Danio rerio: one gene and its partners. The protein of the gene in region 2 interacts with the protein of the main gene of each other region in a pairwise test. Links are inferred from orthologs where the notes say so. Each region holds a gene or a part of one and is shown on either strand. Other genes may lie near its edges.

The links.
Region 1: the proteins of alas1 (region 2) and ppl interact in binary tests that used the Homo sapiens proteins (3 or more experiments, as listed by UniProt). The two-hybrid records come from large-scale screens. The link is inferred for Danio rerio from reciprocal best matches to the Homo sapiens genes ALAS1 and PPL.
Region 3: the proteins of alas1 (region 2) and poldip2 interact in binary tests that used the Homo sapiens proteins (3 or more experiments, as listed by UniProt). The two-hybrid records come from large-scale screens. The link is inferred for Danio rerio from reciprocal best matches to the Homo sapiens genes ALAS1 and POLDIP2.

Annotation. Positions count from the first base shown.
Region 1 is NC_133178.1:35,308,400-35,313,844, forward strand, and holds the end of ppl (periplakin), read right to left. Parts: intron 5,261-5,445; coding exon 5,168-5,260; intron 5,064-5,167; coding exon 2,394-5,063; 3' UTR 1,949-2,393; downstream 1-1,948. Other genes in the region: glyr1 (cytokine-like nuclear factor N-PAC), read right to left, coding at 258-295. UniProt on the Homo sapiens protein: Component of the cornified envelope of keratinocytes. May link the cornified envelope to desmosomes and intermediate filaments. May act as a localization signal in PKB/AKT-mediated signaling.
Region 2 is NC_133186.1:318,647-325,221, reverse strand, and holds the start of alas1 (5-aminolevulinate synthase, non-specific, mitochondrial), read left to right. Parts: upstream 1-2,175; 5' UTR 2,176-2,313; intron 2,314-4,829; 5' UTR 4,830-4,849; coding exon of another isoform or gene 4,850-5,045; intron 5,046-6,146; coding exon of another isoform or gene 6,147-6,323; intron 6,324-6,575.
Region 3 is NC_133190.1:27,160,322-27,166,394, reverse strand, and holds part of poldip2 (polymerase delta-interacting protein 2), read right to left. Parts: intron 5,191-6,073; coding exon 5,083-5,190; intron 4,998-5,082; coding exon 4,861-4,997; intron 2,436-4,860; coding exon 2,409-2,435; intron 2,301-2,408; coding exon 2,175-2,300; intron 2,082-2,174; coding exon 2,002-2,081; intron 1-2,001. UniProt on the Homo sapiens protein: Involved in DNA damage tolerance by regulating translesion synthesis (TLS) of templates carrying DNA damage lesions such as 8oxoG and abasic sites.

The DNA of each region.
Region 1 (5,445 bases), on a different chromosome or scaffold from region 2:
ACACATTATATAGCTTTAAACACGGCAACATCACGTGCTTAACTCTGGAAATACAGGCAAAGTAACAGTTAGCTTGTATGCTAAGCTCACTCAAGCCTAGTGCTCAGTGTGGCTTGACGACACATAAACTGGGCCATACGCTCGGTGTTTGCCAAAACACTTTATTGCAGCCACTACAATCTGTCTTCCACGTGCACAAAACATTATTTAAACCGGACTTGAAAAATAAGCGTGAAAAGTTCAGTTTGTGATCTTACCAAACCAGATCCCCGATCCTGAGATGCACGGTCGCCATCTTAAACTGTTAGTGAGAAACGTCGCACTGAATGCAGGGAATGAACACACCCACTACACCCATCTACCCCTGCGGGCGGGCGAGCGAGCGAAAGCTAACGACGACGCGACGCGATCAAAGTAGGCCGAGTTTTTCATTTATATCAATGTATGAGGCGAGTTGGCTCGTCACTTGTCGAGTTGACCAAACAGGCCAGCTTTTTAATGCATAGTTTTATTTTTTAAAATAAGGTCGTAGAAATTAGAGTGGAAGCGATTTCCGAGTAAAAAATTAATTTACGACAACAATATTTAGAAGCGTACTATTTTTAAAAAGTACGAAAACTCAATGCGTTATATTGAAATGAAACTCTTTTTATTTTATATTAAAAGTTGTTTTATATATAAAACCAAGACTATATTTTAATTGTTTATGTGGTATCCACAGGCCCGCAGCGCGGGGTGGGTTCGGGTGGTTCGAAAGACCCACCCTCTCTGAAAAAGGTCCAGATGTTTTGTCCCATACATGGGCTTATTTGCCCTATTTCGACTGCTATTCCATAGTAAATTGTAAAAAAAAAAATTTAAAAAAATCAAAAAAGGTTTTAAGATTAAGTGGAATTCTGTGTTTGCTGTAAGTTACATAATTTGGGACACCGAATTTGGCATGGCGTGCCATTCTGAAGTCACACCGTGCCACACTCAGCAGAGTAAAATTGAATATGCCAGCTGGTTCGTTATTCGCCTAATAAATGTAAAAAAATTAACAGATTTAATTTTTTTTTGTATTTTAAAAATAAATATCGTTCTCATATTTATTTATTCTAAATCTTTAGGAAATGCTTTGGGTACATCAAAAACTAGTTACGATGTCCGTTTGACAAACTAATCCAGCAAAAATAGTGCTAATCTTTAAAATGCAGTATTAACCTCATAATTAGATAGAAAATAAGGTGAATAACTTTTTAGTCCACTTTTTGAGAAATAAAAGAACCAACCCTTGCACCCTGGCTACAGACCTGATACCAACTTTTTAACTTTGAAATGATGTTATATGTGTGGAAGGTGATTATTATGCGTAATAAATTCCCTCAATGCACACCGCATACATAGAAAATATTATATATATATATATATATATATATATATATATATATATATATATATATATATATATATATACACACACATATAATAATATATATTAATTATATTATATATAATTATATTATATATTAATATATAATTATATATTAATTATATTATATATTAATATATATATAATAATATATTAATAATAAATACCACATGAACCTGCTCAGATAGATATTTCTGAAGATAAGTTCTAGGATACAAGCATCTGATTAAAACTAATTTGAAGTTACAAATTGACATCATAATCCACTCACAGGTCAAGTGGTGAGGTCTATTATGCGGTCTATGGGTCACACCCTCAGCCTCATGCTCTTATTTTACATTTACTTATGAAAGATGAAACAATCAATCTATCCAAAAGTAATTTTAATATATTAAACATATTTTCAATATTTTGATGAGCGTAAATGTTGTGAAAAAGTCGATGAAAGACTCAAGTAGATTTTGTGAACTAAAAATGATTGCAAAAAGAGCTTTTACTGCTTTATGATAAAGACGAAGGGAAAGAACACAGCACTCAGGTTTATCCATATTTCATTTTTAATCTCAAATCAAACATGAAAGGAGAACAGATTAATCTGACACAGCTGAAAAAAAAAGTGCATGAAAAGAGACAGATAGGGTCCTTACGTTATCATTAAGGCACACACTTGTATGCATATTTTAGATCAGATTACAGTAAAACTGAACTCGATTTCAGTAAAATATGATCATAGTGTCTCATCTGCTACACTCCAATGAAAACATTTCAGGAATAGCGTTAGAAACATTAACCCAAATTCAGCACCATAACCAAAGAAACACCTTCTTGCATTGGTATAAGAATGCATTTGAAAATAAATACATACTGTATTGAGAAAGGGAATAAAAAAATGCAATTTGGGACTGCAAACTGCATGTTTACTCTAGATCTTAATACTAGTAAACAGAATATAAAATTGGTTGTATTTGTCTAATTAATGGATTCATTTGCCTCTGCCTGACAGCATGACGCCAAACTCTTGGATGCTGATTTCTTTGTTCTGGTACTGTTGCAGTTGACGGTTTGTGATGTTTCCTGCCTTCAGAGCATCTTCAATGGAAAACTTCTTGCCTGATTTTCTGTCGTGAAGAACGGAGGACTCGCCACTTGGACCCTTGACGGTGATCTCCTCCCAATCGCACTCTTGACTTTGAAGGTTGACAAACATTTTCCATTCGATTAGGCCCAGCTTGTAAGCCTCCTCGGGCTTCATCTCCTTTCCGGTGTCTGGATCAATGACGACGATTGAACGGCGGAGGTGACTTTCTCGCTGTTCCCTCTTCACTCGCATTGCAGCCAGACTCTTCTGAAGCTTTTCGATTTCATCGTCCTTCTCCATTCGGATGCGTCTAAGCTCGGCAAGTTCCCGTTGCAAGGATTCCATTCGAATTTCCAAGTTCCTGCTACTCTCAACCGGAGATGACTCAGTGATGTGTCTGGTTTCTGTTGTTGTGATTTCGATTTCAGATTGAAGCTTCCGTAATTCGTTTTGTAGGCGCTGGTTCTCCTGCTGTAACCTGTTGCTTTCGTCACGAATGTAGTCGAGTTCTTTTGATGATTTCGTATTGGTGAATTCCATTTCTGAAAGCTTTGTGTTTAGGGTGACAATCTCTTGGTCCAGCTCACGACGTCGTCTTTCCTCTTCTTCAAGGCTTTTCTTTAGCCTGATAATATCCATCTCAGCATCTGGATCTCGCTCAACTTGGATTTTTTCAGTTCGCACAACTTTCTCACGCACTTCTGTTCTCTCAAGTATCTCCTGCTGTTGCAACAAGGCGTTGAACTCTTTCTCCAAGAGCATGCGCTTGTGCCTCTCCTCTTCAACCTGAAGGCGCAGGATAGAGTGCTCTTTTTCTTGTTGAGGGTCCTGCTGAAGGACAACCTTTTGCTTTACTGTCACCTTTTCTCTGTTTTCCTTGTCCCTGATCTCAAGTTCATTAAGCCGCACTCTCAACCTCTGAATTTCGAGCTCCGCATCCCTGCGGGCTCTACGTTCACGCTCCAGTTCCTCAAGCTGAACATCCAGTTCAGTTTTTTGACGCTGGAGCCTGATCAGCTCTTCTTTCAAGATCTCTCTCTGTTTCTGCTCATTGCTGATATTTAGAGAAAAGGTGTCACATTCAGACTTCAAGAGTGGATCCAGCTCCATCTTCACGACTTCCTGCTGGACAAGTTTCTCCCTCACCTGTGACAAGTCGATCTTCTTGATCCTGATCTTTTCTTCACTGAGGGCCCTTTCATTTTCCAGCTCCAAACGTTTCCTCTGTTCCTCAGCCAGTTTCCGCTTGAGGCTTTCGATCTCCTCCTTGGTTTTAGGATCTTCTCTGTATTGCAGGATTTCATTCACAACCTCTTTGGTCTGAATCTGAGGCTTGGTGTCTTTCCATCTTTGAATCTCGTCTTTGAGTTGGAGTATCTCCATTTCGAACCTCTCTGTTTGGTGGGTTTTGTCCACAATTTCATTTCTGAGTTGCTCCAGCTCTCTTTCTGTTTGTGGGTCAATCTTGTATTTGATGACCTCTTTGATGATCTCTTTGTATTCAATCTGTGGACCTCTGTTTCTCAGCATTGTCAATTCATCCTGAAGGGACCTCAGCTGAAGCTCTGAATCTCTGCACCTTCTCTGCTGCTCCACCAGGTCAAGTCGAAGATTCGCCACCTCTGTTTCTGCCTTTGGATCAGGTCGGACAATCTCACGCACCTTCTCCTGGATAATGACCTTTGACTTCTCTTCCTCCAGGCTGGTGATCTTGCGCTGGAGGTCTGTTCTCTCTCTTAGCGCAGCACTGCGTCTTGTTTTTTCATCTTCGTATTGTCTCCTCAGGTTCTCTACCTCTCTCTCCAAAGCAATATCCTTCTCAACCTTCAGGACTTCCTTGATGGAGATCTTTTCCTCAGCCATTGCCTTTTCCTTTTCAAGACGTCTTAGTCTTTCCTGCAGGAATCGAAGCTCGTCTTCAAGCTCCTTACGGGTTTCTATGTCTTTTTGCTTTCTTTCAAGCAATACTCTGTACTCACTCTCCAGCTGAGGGTCATTTTGAACCTTTATGACTTCCTCCTCTTTGATGATTTCCTGCTCCCTGCTCTTCTCCTCTGCAAGAATAGTCACTTGCTTTCTAATCTGAATGATTTCATTCTCTCTAACCATCTTCATCCGCTTGACCTCCTCCAGCTCTTCTCGTAGTCTCCTGAGTTCTTCCTCCTGTCCCCTGTCCCTCTCAATGCGGAGCACCTCTTTAACTGTGTACTGTTGAGCTCCTTCTTTCATTTCGGTCTCAATCCCACGCAGCTTCACACGGAGGGTGTCCAGTTCACTCTCTAAGATCCGAGTGGTCCTGCTTTCATCCAGGAGCTTCTGCTGAACTCTGTGGTACTCCTCATCCAGTTGAGGGTCCGGCACCTTCTTGACAAGTTCTTTCTTGACAATTGTATCCTGTGGTTTCTGGCCCTCCAGGAAATAGATGTCACTTTGGACACTTTGAATTTCCCTTTCTAGTTGGTCTCTGCGCTGAATTTCTTCCTGGAGCTGATTTTTGATTCTCCAGGGCTCTTCTCCTGGGGCAGACGATCTCACAGTTTGGACATCTTGCCTGACTATTGTAACCTCTGGTTGCTGTAAAGAATTATAAAATATCGCATGCGTTAAAGTAAATGAGCAATCCTTAGACTACTCTATGGTTTGGAATATACATAATACAGAACAATAACATGTTTTACCTGGTTAAGAAGGCTTTGGGCAAATTCTAGGTTCTGCAGTCTCTGCTTGTTCACAGCATTTACTTCGGTGAATTTTGCCTCAATTGCAGATTCCTTCAGAACACAACAATAATGTTTCAGTGACTGTAAAGAGACCTTCTAATCTAAAAAGCTTCAAAAATAGTACTGACTTGAGCATTTCCTGCACGTACGAAAAAAATATCTCAATCAAATTTGTGAAGTGTCACATGGTTAATGCACATTTTCATGCGACTGGAGCAGTTTAACTTCCGTTTACA
Region 2 (6,575 bases):
CACCATGATGACCAGTATAGAAATAAAGCAGTGTAGTAGGCCAAATCAAGCAGCTCCAGCACTGCACAGTTCAAAAACGAGACAGAGTCATATTCATGTTAATACAATTTTTAATAAATTATGACATATACGTTGCATGTACATGTGACATATTTGTAAAACTTTTGAAAATCTAAATATTAACTTGTATGTAGACAGGGGAACCGGTTTTTCTCAGAGGATCTCAAGCTGACAATATTATATGTTATATATATAATATATAATGTATATTCCATACAAAATATGAAGCTGATCGGTCAGTTCTTGTTACGTGACTCGCGGTGCGGCATTCTGAAAAGATGTTTTAACTGGGCACACCTGGAATACGAAAGTGCATCATGCTGCTTGCGTCTTCATTATAAATAACAAACTTGCATGTAGAAATGACACGATATGTGAACATTATCGTACACATCAAATGATTAAAATAGGATTCAATTTTCCATTCATTACTCAGTGATTCCTCCACGTACCACTAGATATAAGCCCCTGTACCAGTAGTGTACATGTACCACAGTTTGAGAACCACTGCTTTAGACAATACACTGTAGGTAAAAAATAAATAATAATAATTGTTATTATTACTGCTACTACTGCTAATAAATGAACTATTACCATAGTGGTTTTTGCATTACAACTCATTTCTAAAATGTTGTTTACATCTGCAAATAAGTCAAAATGTGCAAACATCTGAACAATGAAGGAAGTCAAAAATTCCTGTTTGATTATTTTACAGCTGATTTTCCATATGTCTCTTTTGCATCACTCTTTATAATTTAGAAAATACTGCAAAGAGATGGAAAATTTGCAAATAAACCAACAAAAAATATTTATTAAAACATTTATTGTGGAACAGAACTATAATATAGCTTTTAATCAGGCAAATAATGTCTATGGCTCAGTGCAAAATGTGTATAATTATATATGTGTAATGAGCATATAGTGTATAACTTGTGCAATAATAGTTTATTATGGTTTTATTTACAGACACAAATTCAAAACAAAAACTTAAAAGTGAATTTCATGTGCCTCAGTTTTATCTCACTTTTAAACATATTATAACTATTAAACCTGCTTATATATTTACATATTTTACATATTTATAACTTATAAAAAATCTCTAAATCAACAAAGTGCATGTAAGAGAAGTGTGTTCATCTAGTTTATAGCTTCATTTATAATGGGACAGAGTAGTTCACCAACTGAAAACGAACATTTCCTCAATAGTTCTTCGCTGTTTCTTTATTAGTGGCTGTAAACTTTAATGATTTCTTTCTTCTGTTGAACACAAATATAATAATGCTGGAAAAGCTGACTCCAATAGAACAGACATATCTTCCAGCATTCTTCAGAATATCTTCCTTTGTGTTGAACAGAAGACATAAACAGGTTTGATGAGGTGGAGGATGAGAAAATGATGGTGGGATTTACATTTGTGTGTGAACTGACCCTGAAAACTTTAAGGAAACAGTCCTGTTGTTTTTACTCTGAGTTATGTCTGGGCTATTCCTGTAGCAGGGCGCGTCTATACACTTCCTTTGACTTTCTGGTGTAGTTTCCTCATATTAATGACATAAACAAACACGAGGACACATGTATCATACTGATCACAACACACGTGTTGATCAATCTGGGAATTATCCGCCTCGTGTGCTCAGGGTTTGAGGCGGTGCAGTCTAGAAGGGATACAGCTGCGGTTACTCATACTTTTTATGACCCACCCTGTACAACAATAATTCATATTTTACATTACTGTGAGGGCTGGGGTAGGTGTAGAAGTTTGTAAATACAATTAATGGGTCATTTAATAAACAATACGAACTCAGTATACTACTGTTTACGTGAGGGTTGGGTTAGGCGTTAATAAAATACTATTTAATGGGTAGTTTAAAAAACAATATGATTCGTCTCGGTGTAATTACTGTTTTTACATTAATGTGAGGGTTAAGGTAGACGTTTATAAAATACAATTCTCGTTAACTTCATTTCTCGCCGCAGCTGTATCTCTTCTAGCAACAACCGGTGTCGCCATAGTTTGCGCGGAAGGAGAGGCGTGTCCTCGCGGCTGCTGACGTAAAGATCGCGAGATCTGCGGCCGCTGGTGCGATATAATCCCGGAGCGCCGCTCGCCCTCTCGTTCGTCCTCAGTGCAGGATAACGACGCACATCGCTCATTACGGCTGAGAAAACAGGCCAGAGACGGCATAACACTAACAACCGACCACCGGACAGCGATACCAACAGAACACACCCGCGATCTCGGAGGAAACTGAGGTGAGGCGCGTTCATTAGAGGTCGCGGCGCGTTTAATCATGCGGCTTTCTAACTGTTGACCTCTGAAGACTCCACAGATTAACTGTACATCTGCATTTATTTATGTTTTATATCTTATTAAAGGTAGAGAGAGTTCAGTAGAGGATACGATGGTCGTTTTTAATGTACATTTAGCAAATTTAGCTAAAACGCCTCAGGTTCCTGTCAGGTTTGCTAACGTTACGTCACGTGACGCAGAAATCATAACTCTTAACATTAGCCGGTAGGTTAAATTACTGTACTGTACTGTACTATATTGATTTGTAATGTAGCAGAGTAGTGAACTGTTAGTGTAACGTGAGGTTTAGTTTCCGTGTGTAAGTCAGCTGTTTCCCGGCAGGTGAGCTGACAGTATCGGTGAGTCACTGTCGGCGCTGTTCTCTGACTTCATCAGGAATTAATGAGGTCAAGTTGGTTTTATTTTCACACATTGGGTCATTTAATGCTCTCTATATTGTTTACCACTCTATTTTGAATATCGAGTCTGAAAGAGCATTTAAATATGAATTCTAAAACAACATTAGCACTGTTTAATTGACCGTGAATAATGCTGGAATGCACTTTGATGGTCATTGACTGCTGATATGATTCCCCTATTTAGAATTTGATAATACTTTTCTGAAATGAGATTGTGAAGGAGAAAGTCTGAATGTGCGAATATAAAAACAGTTTCTGCTGTTTTAACTCGTATGAGTATGGGATTGAGGGAAAGTTGGTTTTAAATTCACACATTTGGACATTCTCTTTAATAATTTAATATCAGAAAAGTGTTCTTTGCTCATTCTAAATGGTGAAATCATATAATCAGCCAATGGCTATCAGAGTACAGCATTGTTTACAGTCTGATCCTTACATCCAATTTTGACCTAACATTCAAAGTACCATGGTAAACAATATAGGGAGGGAACCACTGAATACATGTGAGAATATAAAACCAACTTGACCTCAATGAGTATCGATGATGATGATGATGATGATGATGAGGGCTGAGCTGAGAGCAGCTGTAAATCTGTGTGGAATGGGCTTACTGTGATTTGAGTTTGAGTGCTCACACACAGCTTTAAGGAGTATTAGTGTACTGTGTGTGTGTGTGTGTGTGTGTCTAATGTTGAGGCGGTAAAGTATGTTTTATATTCGCACATTAGTTTAACGTGTTGTTTATTACACTGCTTTACATATTTACATATTGGGTGTGAAATGGCATGTAAATATGACTTCATAACAACATTAGACGTGTTGGTTAATCTGCATTCATACAGCGTCTTCAAGAAGTCCCAGTGTCTGCAGGAGCCTACTGGAGGTCTGCAATCTGGAAGTTCTATCACAAGTCTGATTTGAGATAAAGCTGTTTTGTCTATAATGTGTTCTTAGGATGAGGGGAGATGGCTAAACCGAGCATGCAAATGAAGTGTTGTTGTCGGCAGGGTAAACTGCCTTTTCAGGTCTGATCTCATCATGTTCTGGAGACAGAAACCGCCTGACCAGTTGACCGAAAAGAGAAAACAAGTGACACAGCCGTGCTGTGAGACTGACACTTTGCATTACTATGGAATATAAATTTATATTCCCTCAATGGTAATGTGATTTACTGCTGTATAATCATTTATTTTTATTTTGTCTTAGTCAAAAACAACAACTTTTTTCCCCAATTAACACAATATATTACATTTTAGGAAACATTTATATTATTTTGGAACCGTAAACATGTCAGGCTACATAATTAAAATAAACCATTGACTTCTACAATCTTTTTTATCTTCAAAAATCTTCAAAACAGATTTCCTTACAACACATAAAAAAACTCTACATATACCTTAGAAACGGTATAAAAAACATTTGTGCGGTTTTAATACCGAGACTTTTCCAGACCGCAGTAAACCTTGTAACCGGTTATCATCTCATGCCTAGAATGCACACAGACTCTGAGGGAATTGTCACCGTAGGGCCCCAAATTAAGTAAATATGCTCATAAATCAGACAGAATGAAGTGTTTAGAGATGTAGAAGTGCAGAGTGTGTGCTGTGAGCGTTGAGTTTAGAGGGAGACGAGAGAATACACACACACTGTACAGAACAAACATCACTACAGCTGTACCGAGATATACGAACGTGTGTGTGTGTGTGTGTTTGTTTGTGTGTGTTTGTTTGTTTGTGTGTGTTTGTTTGTTTGTGTGTGTTTGTGTGTGTTTGTTTGTTTGTTTGTTTGTTTGTGTGTGTGTGTGTGTGTGTGTGTGTGTGTGTGTGTGTGTGTGTGTGTGTGTGTGTGTGTGTGTGTGTGTGTGTGTGTGTGTGTGTGTGTGTGTGTGTGTGTGTGTGTGTGTGTGTGTTTTTGAACTCTCAGTACTGAGGTTGTGGCTCAGTTCCAGTCATGTGAAAGTGACAGTAACCCTTCACACCGGCCGGCTGTTAATCACCATGACAGTGCACTGTGTAATCAGTCAGTTGTAATTAACCTGCTCTCTGTTCTGTGTTTTCCAGACCTCACTGAACCGTCAGCTATGGACGCCATCATTCGCTGCCCATTCCTGTCCCGCGTCCCGCAGACGTTCCTCCAGCAAGCCAGGAAGTCTCTGGTGGCGTATGCGGTGAAGTGTCCTGTGATGATGGATCTGGCCTCCAGACCCCTGCTGCGCCCGCTCTGCTCCTCTAGCGCCAGCTTCCAGAAGGTGGAAGACTCCTCTGCGGCCGGACATGGTCAGTCACGTGCTGTTATAAGGGAAAAATTGTAGAAACGTCATTATTTAAATATAAAACTGCATGATAAGGCTGCGCAATATATGGTTTCAGCATCGATATCGTGATGTACGAGTCTGCAATAGCCACGTCACAGAATCTCCAATGTTGGGATTATAATTATTCAGAAAGCACCGTTCAGAGCATGTGATTTGGGGAGTTTAACAGTGAAAGAGTTTTATTTGGATGTGTTTTAAAGACCTGTGACTGTGTCATACATGCGTTCACCCCTCACAAATCTCGCATTTAAACTGATCTTGTCTACAGAATGCTTTACAGTAAAATATTTATGCAGATACATTGAATTAGTCTGTGCTGAAGCCAAATCTGGAGCCAAAAAAACAGCCTAAAAATTAGTATCCCAAATTGATATGTTCTTTTTTTGGCTAAATTTTACATGAAATCCAACCTGAAGTTTCACACAGAATTTTAAGACATTTTAAGAATCGATTTGATCAAGTAGTTTTTACCAGATGTCGTATTGGGCATACGAGAATAACACATGGTTTTTTGCTCCAAGGTGAAAACCCTACTCAGTGTTTGTATTGCAAAACTCATCTTACTGTAAAGCATATTTTACTGGACTGTCCTGCTTTTACTGATTCCAGAAGGACTTTTTATGAAATTAACTCTTTTAAGGACATTTTTGACAAAGTAACACCCGAAAAGATTTTAGAATTTTTATCATGTATTAACACAAAAAATCTTATTTAATTTATGTTTTATTTTGTTTGTTGATTTTTAAATTGTATATTTATTGTTGAAAGATTCCTGCCATGAAGATAGCCTTGGTTGCTGACATGGCACTAAATAAAAAATACATTACATTACATTTTGGCTAAATTTAGCGCACATTTAAATGCATTATCTTGATATTTTTAAAGATGTTCAATGACTAAAATATGACTTTAATCAATATGTTAAGTTTTGTTCAAATCTATGAATATATATTGTCGATATTCTTTAAGAGATGTATAAAATATTCCATTTCAAAATAGGGTAAACTCATTTATGCTGATGAATCTCCTCTTTTTTTTTTTTATTTATTTATTTTTTATTCAGAAGCCAGTGATGCTCCTGCAGTGCCCGCTGGTCACCCTGCTCCTGCAGCCGGGCATGCCTCCGCCTCTAAATGCCCGTTTCTGGCAGCAGAGATGAGCCAGAAGAACAGCGGTGTGGTCCGGCAGGCCAGCATGGCTCTCCAGGAGGATGTTTCTGAAGTTCGCACCGTGCAGAAAGGTTTGAGGAGCTGCTTTAACCCCTGAACTGTCACTGCCCGATAGCAGGATGCTTCAGTGTACTGCACTATACTGCAATGAACTCCTAATCTAATCATGACAGGCTATATATCGTTGGAAAGGTCTAAGTCTTCTGAATACATGTTTTTAGCTAGAGTAAGAGAGCACAATCCATTTACTCTTCAACCTATGGGACTGTTTACAGTTGCATTTTAAACCATAATATTATATTCTAAACGTAAAGAAATTGTGT
Region 3 (6,073 bases), on a different chromosome or scaffold from region 2:
AGACTAACCATAACAAAACAGCATGATATATACAGTACAAAAAGACATTTCGATAAATGAAAAACACAAAGACAAATTAACAATAATAATAAACAAATGAAAATTCCCTGACTCTTAATTTCTGGAATAGAAATGATATTCCAGAAATCCCATGACCAGTGATAACCCTGTTCAAACAACCCGTAACCCGTAACAAACAATGCAATGATGTTATTCATGGAGACAATCCTTTTATGCAAGGGATCACTTATTTTTCATCAAATGAAAAGCTTGATAATGAAACATTTGTTCTGGTGACTGAAATCACATCCCTGTATTTTGCATTGCATACAATAGTTAACAGCACATTTATGATTTGTAATAAATTAAAGCATTCACAAACCTGTAACTCACCAAATAAAAACATCAATTGAAAGACATATTTTAAAAAACTAGTTTTATTAATGATTATGATTTTTAGTGGTTCAATAAAGTCACTATTAAAGTTAAATATGTTTACTTGGAGTTAACTAACAGCTGTGCAGATTCTCCCATTAAGTTTGTTTTATTGTCCATGCACATTTTACCCTGATTTTGTGTACATGCCACATTTATAAGTGAGAACCCTGGAGAGCAGCAGCTTTCTTTCTCTGCTCTGATAGCTACTAAACTACACAAAAACTTGCTTTTTAGATCTTTTTTTTTTTTTTTACCTTACAACCCACTAACAATAGGCCTGTCAAATTAAGGTGAGTTTGAATGCTAAATTCTTGTTGTTTGTAACATGTAAGAGCTTGTTGTTTCCTAACAAGACAATAGCCCCTTTCACACAGTGATACTGGTAAATATCTGGAAAATTTCCGGAACGACTTTACCGGTATATTCAAAAAAGCGCTGTTCACACAGGCGAGGACGTTACGGAAATTTTCCGGAAAATAGCATTCACACATACATTCCAAAATACCGGTAAATTCTGACATCATTCAACACAAATGAGCTTTAAACGGCTGCGCTTGTATTTGTAAACATTTGACTAAATTACAAACTCTGTGGATGATCAATATTGTGAACAACTTTCGCAGGATCACTTTCGCATGTCGAGATGTTCATAATATGTGCGTGTGCAGGCGCTCACAGGCTGTTTCACAGGCACACGCAAAGCTTGGAAGGTAAACAAACAACGGCTTATCATAAGCATCTCATCGATGATTATTTACACAGTTGGCATTAAGAAGAACATATAAACGTGATCGGACTAACTTCTAGCAGCTAAATGTGTCTGGAAAAATATTCAAAGGCTTTTATTCTCATAAACCACGTGGACGTAAATGCGTCTGACTGTTGTGATTGGCTAAAGCAGACGTCTCACGTCAGCACGTTCTAGACGTGCACGCGCTTATTACGGCAATCTTCCTTCTGCATTCACACAGCGCAGCATTCCGGCAAATTGCCGGTAATGTTACAACTTCTCTTTCCGGAAAATAGCCAGAACGAATTTACCGGTATTTTCAAAAAGGACCTGTTCACACATACAACCTTTCCGTCTGTATGTGTGAAAGGGGCTAATGACTGCAGTTTTTAAAGGGATAGCTTGTTTTAAAAATGTTTTTTGTTTAAATCTCAAAGTGATGGTGCCCACTGATTTCCATTATGTGGATTCTAGAAGTTGGACAAAGGACAATGTTCCTGGTTATAATCTTCCTAATAGTCTACCCAAGATATTCTACTGAGGGTGTGTAAATTAACTGGAAATTTTCATTTTACTGTGAAGACTCTCTTTAAATAAGATGTGTTTTCATCTAAAAGGTCAGAATTAACAAAGGAATGTTCTTTTTTTTTTTGCATCGTATTGTGATTTACATATCATAGCAACACCCTACATCAAAGGCATTGTGCCAAAAACAGAATATTGTGTAGTCTAAACCCCACATTATTCAAAATTAAGCTAATTTCTTCTATTAATGCTTCTATTAAATATTAAGCTAGAATAACGCATATATGTCAACATGTTGATAATCTCACCACATGTGTCCACTGGGTGCTTGAAGTGAAACATGACTGCTGTACTGAAACGCCGGCTGTTCTCTTGACAAAACAGGCTCCTGGTGAGATAATGATGAATTAACATTTAGCAAACAAATCTTATTTCCATAGTCTTGAATTCTAGATTATGCTTTTGCTAATTAATATTTCACCTTGCCAACCACTCCTCTTCCACGGACTGTTTCCAGAGTCCCAGAAAGACTGAAGATCCTCCAATGTCTTTCCCTGAGCTGAACCACCTCATTGCCCAGGTTCTCCAGACGGATGCAATAACGCCACTGCAGAAAACATCAACATATCATCTTCAACAGGTCACCGATGGCCAGCCTATAAATAGCCCTTTTATTTAGTCATTACAAATGCCATAATCAGGTAATTTTGCTTACCCAATACACATGGGAGTTCTGAGCTTCCTGTAGACATACAAAAACAAACATAAATCAAGACCATGTTCATTTTAAAATTAAAGTACAGTAAATAAATATACAGAATGTATGTATTCGATGATGCATTTAATTGATCAAAAACTATAGTACATATTTAAATTAAAACAAAATATTTCTATTTCAAATAATATATTTTGTATTAAATTTTCTATTCATCACATTTTTTTAAAATACATAAAGTAAACAGTATAATTGATAACATTAAAGAGTTCCTATTAATGGTTTTTGATAATGAACTTCCATGCAGTGTAACACAGCACTAAGAGAATGAAAACATCCAGCAGATGATCAGTTTAAAACTGAAAGTCCACTATGTTTAAAACTATTGATTCTTCAACAAAATAGTTGACTTTCTTTAACAGAATATTCGACTCAAGAGTTGAATGAATGAATTGAGCTGGGTTCGGATCTTTTGCTATGAATGCGTTGACGTTGATGCGGTAAATCACCAAATATGTAGTACTGGATCCAGTGTAATATGAACACAACTTTCACTTCAGACACTAGCAGAGAGCGGAGATTACGGGACTGATTATGAGCGAAGGTAACGATTACTAACAGATGGAGATTCGGCTGCGGAGAATAAAGGGTTAAAGTTCATTTTCACAACACCACAGTATAGCCAAAATTAGCGCAGTGTTTGTTCCTGTCATTTTTCAGATTTTTGATACAATAACCTACGCTGCAACGTGGGATTCGCCGGCAGTTTGCTATTAAAGGAAGGAGCAGCAGAGACTATTATGTATGGGGCTTTAACAGTTACTGACAGTCCCTGTCAAAGTCTGACACAGTTCACATGGACCAATTTCTTCTTCCTCCGGATCATAACATGTAAGGGCGCACTCACACTATGTACAGTTGCCTTGAACCGCGCCGAAGCACGCTTGTCCCCCTCTCGTCTTCCCCGGCGGACCGCACTTACATTGCATTCAGGCCTGAGCACGCTTATGTCATTGATGATGGCGTTCAGCACAGTGGAGATTTCTTAAGTTATATCGTTTTAGTGGTTTGGGATGTGGTGACACGCAGTCAAAAATTTCGCCCAACAGATCAGCCACCTTTGACGCTCAGAAACAATCATAAAGTCCTTGTGCAGCAAGAATTATGAGGTTTGCTGAAGGTGCAACTGTCATGCAGTGGGGGGTTTGTGTCTTTAATAATCTACAACAGTTCAGGTTCATTGAACAGTAAGAATGATTAATAAATCCATATGAAACGGTCCCTTAAAAGTCATGTCTCGGTCATGTCTTTGCACTTACACTACAAGTGTACCACGCCTGAGCCCACGTGAACTGTGCTCTGGCACAACATTTCCAACCGGGCCAGGACCAGCCAACTGAACCATGCCTGAGCCTGATTCAGAGCACTCACACTTCTCAAATGATACGCTGGACGGGCCTGAGCACGGTTTGAATAGCATAGTGTGAGTTCGCCCTTACAGTGTTTCCCTTTAGGATTTTTTCCAGCTGTGGCGGCAGACCTTTTACACAAATCAACCAACTACCTATGGCGTTATTTTAATGACAAATGGAGAAATGTCGTGAGCGCAGAATTACAAGTCGAGATCGCATTTATGCAATACGAGCATGCAAATCTTTCAGCTTGCGTGCCAATTTCCTCTGCTTGTGCACAAAACCTCTTGCACACTCCCTCAAATATACGCAGCTCAAGCACAGATCCGTGCAACTTATTTATTATAGATCACTGCTTGTACTCTATCTCTCTGGTTAAACCTCCATGAGGCTATTCACATATTGCGTCCAAAATCACATTGAAAACACGACGCATGCTTCTTCCTTTACCGATTTAAATGCGTTTCTGAACTCGCAATCCTCTGCTGTTTGTCATTGCTATTGCCACGCTGAGTGCAGTCGACTAGTCACAACAGACTGTGTCATCGGTACAATCAGCACAGATTAGCTTTGTGCTAAGGAGGGGTTTGGGAACAAATGAGTAGCTGAACGATTCATATGGGAGTTGTTGGGATAATTGGGTAAAAATAAATGCATATTATAAAACAATAAAAGAGTTTTTGGCCTTGCATGCATATTATAATAGAGGCTTTTTAAAAGGATTTCTGAATGATCATGTGACACTGAAGACTGGAGTAACAGTTACTGAAAACTCAGCACTGCCATCACACGAATGCATTGAATTTTTTTAAATAAACAGAATTTAAAATACATTTCAACAACTGTATTATATACAAATAAATAATACAGTTACATTCATCTGTAAAACCTCACAATATTACAATTTCTACTGTGCTTTTGTACACAATGCAGCCTTGGTGAGCATAAGGGACCTCTTTTATAAATAATCTTACAGGCCACAAACTTTTTTTAAGGTTGTGAACATTTAATCTGCAATCCACTTAAAACTCTATTCTTACTCTCATGCCCATGTAGAAGGGGATGACGGTGACACGGATGTTCTCTGTGGTTTCCCGGTGCACATCTGACAGCTCCAGCCAGGGATGGTTCTTCTCCTGCCAGGCCCGTAAGGTATCTCTCGCAGTAAACGGAGGATCTAAAGAAACAAAATAAATGCAATGAAATTTATTATCAGACTCAGGACTGATATTAATACTAATGAGAAGATGATGACTAGTTACTTCTGGAGGGGTTAAACATTAGGAAACGTTCAAACAGCTCATGCTGGATAGGAACTTGTTCAGTGGAGTTGTAAGGCAGGATGTCTTCGTGACTCACATAATCCAGACCTGAAACACATGCAGGCATACAAATGAAAGAATGAGTGATAAATGGAGCTTTCATAAAAAAAAAAAAAAAATCAGGCCTCTATTTAAAGGGGGGATTTTTATTTAGAGAAATAAACTGACAATTAATTAATTAATTTAAGAAATATTCACAATTATGCCAATGAGTTATCTGCTTTAGTGTTTTAGATTTTTAAAAAATGTTGGAAAAACAGCCACTGATTTCATTTTTTGTTCCTATTATGGATGTCAATGACTGCTTTACCCCCCAACATTGTTCAGAAAATCTTATTTTGTGTTCAACAGAGGAAAAAAAATTATAAAAGTTTAGAAAGCGAGAGAGTTTTGAATCTATTGCCACATCAGCTTCTAGCTATGTTATAGGGGAAAAAAAGATCACATTTACATTTAACAAATTTTATAAATATCACTTTTCTATAATTATAAAAACATTTTAACAATTAAAAGTCATCAACAGCAATAAACAATACATAAAATAAAATAATAATAATAAATATTAATAATACACGAGATAAAAATCTATAACGTTTTTAAAGGTCTGCTTTGGACACCAATAATCAAATTTTCATACAATTAAGACAATACTTTGATTAAGAATTAAGGTCATAATTGAACTAAACAGAAATAGAATAAAGACATGTGGAGATGCCGATTTTAGTTGCATTACAGACATGTAAACAGCTTAAACTACTGTCTTCATGTCGGATTTTCACCACATTTTGCATCAGAATAGTCTAAACACATGCAGCTTTTTGACACTATTTTCTGTACCTACCGAGTCAGTAAAGGACCACAGACACCTGCATCATAAAATATGGAGGTTTTTTTTTTTTACCCAAACAGCGTGCAGTACAATTTGCATTAA